Linked DNA regions of Schizosaccharomyces pombe. The protein of the gene in region 1 purifies or fractionates together with the protein of each later gene. This does not show direct contact. Each region holds a gene or a part of one and is shown in the gene's direction. Other genes may lie near its edges.

Evidence for each region. Proteins that work in one complex are often made in the same cells at the same time.
Region 2: the proteins of tts1 (region 1) and rtn1 purify together in Schizosaccharomyces pombe (co-purification; one study listed by BioGRID). This does not show direct contact.

The regions. Positions count from the first base shown.
Region 1 is NC_003423.3:4,366,720-4,370,317, forward strand, and holds tts1 (tetra-spanning protein 1), read left to right. Parts: upstream 1-1,622; 5' UTR 1,623-1,669; coding exon 1,670-1,729; intron 1,730-1,828; exon of another isoform or gene 1,829-1,915; coding exon 1,916-2,695; 3' UTR 2,696-3,097; downstream 3,098-3,598. Other genes in the region: arg41 (argininosuccinate lyase), read right to left, coding at 1-48; COG complex subunit Cog3, read left to right, coding at 3,281-3,349, 3,392-3,598. UniProt on the Schizosaccharomyces pombe protein: Required for the correct positioning of the cellular division plane by delimiting the actomyosin ring assembly at the cell equator.
Region 2 is NC_003423.3:1,261,781-1,265,620, reverse strand, and holds rtn1 (reticulon Rtn1), read left to right. Parts: upstream 1-2,016; coding exon 2,017-2,943; 3' UTR 2,944-3,323; downstream 3,324-3,840. Other genes in the region: protein dbl7, read left to right, coding at 3,781-3,840. UniProt on the Schizosaccharomyces pombe protein: Required for the correct positioning of the cellular division plane by delimiting the actomyosin ring assembly at the cell equator. Overexpression causes cell lysis.

The DNA.
Region 1 (3,598 bases):
AGTGGCGCCAGTAAATCTACCGCCCCAAAGTTTTTGTGAAGAAGCCATTCAGAATTGTTAAAACAGAGTCAGTTTTTCAAGTTTTCAACCAACGCAAAAAGGAGGTAGTACTACTTAAAATTTAATTTATCTAATCTTTTGAGAGTATGGCTATATGACCGTGTAACCTCTTCCTTATCGCAACCTATTGTTATATCACATTAACGATACGGCGATAGATATGAAATTGATATTATAATCGCTATAATAAGATCTAACGTATTGGAACGTATAAACACTTAATAAATGTTTACATTCCGCTTCGTTATTTCTTTCCTTAAGTTTACAAAAGATATCATATATGGAAGCTTTGGTTGGAATCTTACTGTATAAATGTACTCAACCTGAATGATTTGTTTTGTCTTTCTGATTTATTAACTCAGAGCTACCAAAGAATTTCGCGAGCATTAGCTTAGATTTAAGAAAATTGACTGTTATAAAGATTGAGAATTCTTAAAAGATTTTCTTGTTAGTTGTGATTGTTTTTTCGATTTTTATTAGAACGATATTTATAGATGCCTGAAAACTCATTGGTAGATAAGTATTGTTTTCTCGTTTTTACTAGTGTCTGATCAGACTAAACTGGTTTAAACATTATGATGCATCTTCCGCCCAATTTCTTTTAAGATAGCTAACGAAAATCAATTAAAATAAACATGGACCAACCGAGTTTATGAATCCACCAAATATAGTGGGATTATAAAGAAGAAGAAAATCAACGAAGAATAAAGTGATAACAGTACATGATTTTCCTTTTCCCTCTTTACTTTCGTCTCTTACTGCCTTAAATTATACACTGCATTTCAAATTGTCAACTATATTATTGATTTCTTTTGGCATGAACACATATAGGGCGTATTACTTCGACAGTCTAACATTTACTTATACCAAGCTTCTCAAAATTCGTTTATAGTACTCGTCTTCGCCAACAAATAACTTAACAATTTACGTATGGATATGTTGTTAACAGAACGTCTGGACTCAAAACGGAATCCACAAAGTGTTATCTTCGAGAATACTCTAGAGCCAGTTTAGATCTTGCTAGTTATTTTTAAATAGAAGTTATTGAAGGTTGCCGAGCAATACAAGTGTGATATAGTAATGTTGAATCTGAACCATTTATTGTCCACTAGTAAATGTGCAAGAATTAATCCATTTATTGTTTCCATGTAAAACATAGAACAGATAGCGTAACAAACAACATCGTACTTTAGCATTTCACTTTGAAAAATTTTAGTCAGAGCTTCTTGTACATTGTTATCAAGGGTCGTAAATGAATTATGTTAGCTTTCTGGAGTGTCTGCTAGACTTAAACAATTGGATTTTAGAAAACTAAAGAGTGTAGCCCCTATTTAAATCTATTTAATTGTAATAGCTTGAATGCTACTCAAAGGCGTAAATCCTTTTTTAAGCGCTTATATTCCTGCTAAAAGAATTCTAGTCAAAACGTGTACTAGCGTATTTCACAGAAGTTCCATAGGTTTTCTTTTTCTGATGTAGGAAAATTTAGGATCTTCCATTGGTAAGCGTACATTGTACTCTATCACAACTATTACAACATACTTTTTGCTGGATATTAACTTAACAAAAGCCACATCTTTAAAACTTTGAAAATAACAACTTTGCTATAATGGAGCCAAAACAACGAGTTGTCAAGCCTTTAAAAGAAAGGGTTTTACCTGTTGTCAAGGTAAATATATCTATCATGTGTAAATCAGATAATAAATGTTGATTATAAGAAAAGTTTCTTATTTAGTTCCATAACGTAACTGTAATCTATTACTAAAACATAGACTAATTTGTCAGCATTATTTTATTTTGATTCAGTGTCATATTGTCTTCACTCTTTTAATACATTACTAACCGTTTATTATAGAACACCCAGTTTGTTTGGTTTTCGGGGCAAGTAATAGTGCTAATCTCTTCCGTCTTGTATGCTCTTCAAGCAATCCCTTTTCGTTCCGCTCCTCCATTTTTGTTTAAAAGCGCTGCCTTTGGTGCCATCGTTGCATATGCAATTGTCCTTTACAAAACTTATAGTCCAAACTTGACTTCCCGTGCTTCTTGGAATAAGCATTTCTTTGCCCGTCTTATGCTCGATGACAATGTTCAGTATTTTATTTTAGCTCTTTCAATGTTGATTGATCGTCCCATCCTATTTTCTCTCGCTCCATATGCCATTTACGCCACTTTCCACATCTCCACTTACTTGCGTAGTGTGCTTTTGCCTGCCATTTACCCTAATATTTCTGACGCGAAAACTGCGTCTTATGCTTCTCGTGTTTCTAATTTGCTAAATCAGTACACTCGAAGCCAATTTCAACCTGCTATGCAACTTGTTGCTTCTCTCGAAACATTTTTATTGTTCCGTTTGTTCTTTGGGGTTTTCTTACGTAAAAACTCAATTTCCAGGTTGGTGGGCTATATTTTCTTTCTTCGCATGAGATACACTAATAGTCACTTTACTCGTGCATCCATTAAAGCCGTTAGCCTTCGAATGGATCGTTTGGTTGCAGATAACAGAGTTCCTCCTGTTATCAAAAATGCTTGGCATACATTCAAAACTTATGTGTCCAAGTTCGGTGCTTCACCTGTAGGTACTGCTCAAAGCCGTCCCACTGCATCAAGCTCTACCACTGCTCCCTCATCTACTTAAAGTGATGCCTTATTCCTTTTGATTGCTAGAGATTTATATAAATTTCACCAATCAGTGTGATTTTAATATGTCTAAGTGCTCCTGGTTTTTGAGTTCTTTACTATTAACGAGTAGTTTCTATTTCACCCAAGTAAATTTTGAATGTTCATACCGTTTACCTCTTTCTCTAAAAACTTGTTTGAGATAATTCCGTTTATTTATTTTTGCTCACTACTCCTCTATTTCAGTTATCTTTGTTTGGGGGGTCTCCTCAGACTTTAGTTTAGCTTTTTTCAAGGAAATTGAAATATGGATATATGTTGTTTATCCAAAAACTCTTTGAGTATTAAAAGATTAAGAGGTAAAAATAATACGTTTTATTGAATTTTGTAGCACAATAAACACATGTATAGCAGCGCACTCTTGAAATCTAGCAAGTTATTAGTTTACATTGGATAAAATACCAGTTTCAATTGAATTTATGTGATGTTAATGCGTTTTGTTTCTTAGCATCTGCGCAAAGTAACGTAGCGCTGTGTTATGGTTCACTGGGAAACACCAACAAAGTGCTCGATGTTTTTCTGATTATCGTAATTATTTTGAACGATGTTTGATCAGTTGGAGTTTTATCCTGCTGTCAACTATGAGGATAATGAAACTCAAAATGATATAAAAGTAAGCTTAGATAAATGTTTTTACAAGGGCTTACCCAATTAGCTACCCGAAGTCGCCAAACTTGAAAATATCGAAACAGTGCATTCCATTTCTAAGGAAAGACGCGACTCTTTAACGGAAATTTTAAATGATTCTTCAAGCTTACCGGCACGTCCGTTTTCTCTGCCTAATCCCAATAATTCAACCGTAGAAAAGCAGTCGTTATTTCCATTTGAAGAAAAGATGAACCCCATATGGATAATTTCTAGA
Region 2 (3,840 bases), 3.1 Mb from region 1:
GCACTCCCTTGCCTTATACATGTACCGATGCCATACTCCCATCTCATCCCATCCGATAAGCGGCAGTCGCGACCAGCTCATGCTGGTGATGGTAACGAGATTTGTCCAACAATTCATTAAACATCATACTGTGGAACAAGACCGTACAGCAGAGTGCAGTAAAGGATTTGCTAAAGGAGAGAAGAACCCGACCGTTTCAGTAGAGTAGAGTAGAGAGGAAAGAGGAAAGGATGATACATCATTACTTTGAATACGATACAACACAATTCTTTCAGTACAATGTAATTCACTTCTATGCAATGCAGTCCACTTCTATGCAATTCAGTCCAGCGCAATGCAATTCCATACATTTCATTTCAATTCATAATTTCATATACTAGCATACGATGAGATGTCCAATTTATTAAATACGTTTTCTCTTTCTCCCTCCCTTTTCACGAAAAGGCAAGAAAAGCCTTCTTGTTCATCATACGGTATGCTTGCAATTTTTAAGTGGGTGTAAATAAACAGACACACAACGCATAATGAGATGATGAAGAATTTCAATACAAACTGATTTGTACAAAAAAAATTAAATTATAAAAAGAAAATCTATTCAATTCAATTCAATTCGTGAAAAAATAAAAAAAATAAAAAATTCGAAATAAAATTACATTAAATTAATTAACGTAAACTGAAATAAATCAATTACTAAATGTAGAAAAGGTATGGTCTTATTTATTTCATCATATATATATATATATTTTTTTTTGAAATACATTTGCTTTGATTCTTAAGAAATAAATTTTTTGTCAAAAAAATTTCCAAAAAAAAAAAAAAAAAAAAAAAAGGCTTCAGAAGTTTGAATGAATTTTGTTTCTTCAAAGTTTTAATTGATTTCAATTCCTCAAATATTAAATAATTTTTTAAACAACAAATTTCTTCGTGTTTTACTCACTTGTGGATGATTCATCATTTCTCACCGTTACTATTCCTTTCCTTTTTCAATCTTTAATCCTTTCTTTATTCAGTTGTATCCTTTTCCTTTTCATCACTCTTATCCCTTTCTCCTTTACATTTTACAATCAAACTCCATACTTCGCTCTCCTTTCAACAAACTATCCTACACGAATTTATTTATCTATTTCTCACTTTTTTTTCGCCTCTTGTAGCCTTTCCTGCACTTAATCATTGTTTTCCCTTTATTTACTCTTTTTTCAATATCTCTAGCTTTTGCAAAAGTCATCCGTTTTCGCTCGTTCTTTCGTTTTTCATCCATTTTCATTGTTTCTCTATTCATTTCCTTCTTTTTCATACCATTTCACCCATCTTTTCATACCATTTAACCCATCTTTTCCCGCCCATCTTCTTCCTATTCTTCGTTTTTCTTTTACCATCCAAAATTCTCTTTCATTAGCCTGCTGTAAACCGATTATAAGCATGATCGCTATAGTCGCCGCTGACACAGACTTATTGAGCCAAGAACAACGTCATTCCATGATCAACGCTATGACTGCTATCTAACCACCAACCACCGACTTGACTTTTACCATATAAAAGCAAAGCTTTCCAACTAACAACTTTCTAACAGTTTCGTAAGTGAAACATATTGACTTTCCTCTCAACAACTCGTGAAGGTCTCTTTTTGTATTTACCCATTCTACTTTTATTTTTTCTTTCGATCAATATCTCCCTTAAAAGTTAACCCTTTTGGAACTTGGCTTTGGATTTAATACATATACATTTTATTTATCCTACAGCAAAATCCAAAAATCTTTTATTCACTTTTTTAAGTCTTTGTTACAAAGTATTTCGCTCTTCCGAAAAGTCGTCCTTTACTAGCTATTTTCTTTAGTCGGCACTTTTCAGAATTAGTTTTCTTTAAATTTTCTCTATTTTTTACTATATCTTAAAAAAAAAACACTTGCACCCTTTTTTAGTTTAAAAGGTTTCTCTTTTTTTTTAAGGCTTCTTTTGATTCTTAGTAACTGTTTTACCTTAAGTTGTTATTTTAAAATTGAATATAACACGCAAATCATGTCTGAACAACATTCATTAAACCCCTTTGAATCCGGTTCCGTCACTGCTTCCGATGTCGCCGCTGCTAAATCCGGTGCTGAGGACCTTGTAAATACTTTGACTGCTCACACCGTTCACCCTTCCACCGAATTGCCCTCTGCCACTTCATTTCCCTCTGCTCTCCCCAACTCTGAGAATCCCGTTATTCAAAACATCTCTTCTTCCTCTTCCGAGCCCCACCACACCTCTCAATCCACACCTGGCGAGACAAGCAGTCCCGTCTGCCCAGTTTCCGGCGCTCACGGAGGTGCCGACAAAAAATGCCCTGCTTTGGAGGCCGGTTGCCCTTTTACCAACACTACTAAGCAAAACGTCGATCCTGAGATCTCTAATGCTTTGTGGTCTGTGTTGACTTGGAAGAACACCTCTTGCAGTTTCTCTACCTTGATGAGTATTCTTGCTCTCGTTTATGTCCCTTCTTGGATCAATCTTCCTCGCCTCTTTTTCAGAACTTTCCGTTATGTCTTTTTGATTACCTCCATCATTGAATTCGGTGGTCTTTTCGCTTCCAACGGTAAGCGTGGTGTCTTGTCTCACTTCCGTTCCTCCTACATCACCTGCGACTCCAAGGCTCTTGATAGGATTGTCAACTCAATTGTCGACATTTTCAACGTTATGTTGATTCAATTCCAACGTATCTTGTTTGCTGAGAGCCCTATTTTGACCTTTACTGCCTCTGTTGCTGCTTTTATTGAGTTTTTCCTTAGTGGCTTCCTTTCCTACAAGTCTCTCTTTGTTTGGAATGTTTTGTTTGCCTTCATCCTTCCCAGATTGTATGTATGCAATGAGCGCTCTATCAAGCATTTGGTTGCTTCCCTTGAGAGATCTGGTGATAAACTTAAAAAGCAAGCTACTGAGACTATAAACACCACTGTTAACAAGTAAACCTCTGCGGGATAATTTGTTTGATTGTTTCTGTCAGGTTGCGCTTGATTTTTATTTGGTTCGCTTCCTCGTTTATTTTAAGGTTTCAATAGTATCTTTTGCAAAAAAATGCAAGGGTAATAACCATGGTTTTGTTTTCAACTTTGAAAATGTGTTGCTGTGTTGTGTTGCGTTTCAAAAGTGTTGTATTATGACTTGAATTAGGAGATTGAATGCGTTTTCTCAATTATTTTGCTTATGACTATGAGTGTTTATTTTCATAAATACGTCTTTCTCATCTCGATATATTGTAAATGTAACAGGTTCGGCTCAATCTCTCATTTCTCTTCTGAGTTGCAAACTATTGCAGTGTGGTTGAAGTTCTTGTTGCTTTGCTCAATATGATGCTATTTTATTATATTTTCTCTGCTTCGTTTAATACCCAACGTACTTATTATTCGTAATTTAATCTCGTAATTACTCCGTGTTGTTTTGTAGGTCCTCCTCGTATTCCTTATTGCTGCTCTTTTCGAAAAAAAAAATATATATATATATTTTCCATAACTAAAATGGGTCTGTGGACGAAAAAATCTATTTTGTTTAACCAAATGACTAAAGTATTTGTTAACCAAAAATTATTATTTTTTTTCCACTACTTCGTATTTAATACAGCCGATCATACAGTAAAGTGCTGATTACACTCGCATGATCGTTGTCTGCTCTCACCACAAGTCATTCACTTATATCAATGTTGTGCCAGCTTTTTACGTTTAAGCTCAAAATTTCCTTTGTATCCATATATTAGGATTATTGAAATTCAATTTATTGTCAATTTATCATGCCGCAACGCTATTATACATGAGTTCCAAGAAAGTCAAATACAATCCTCGAAAAAGCGCATCTCAAAATGAAGCTACC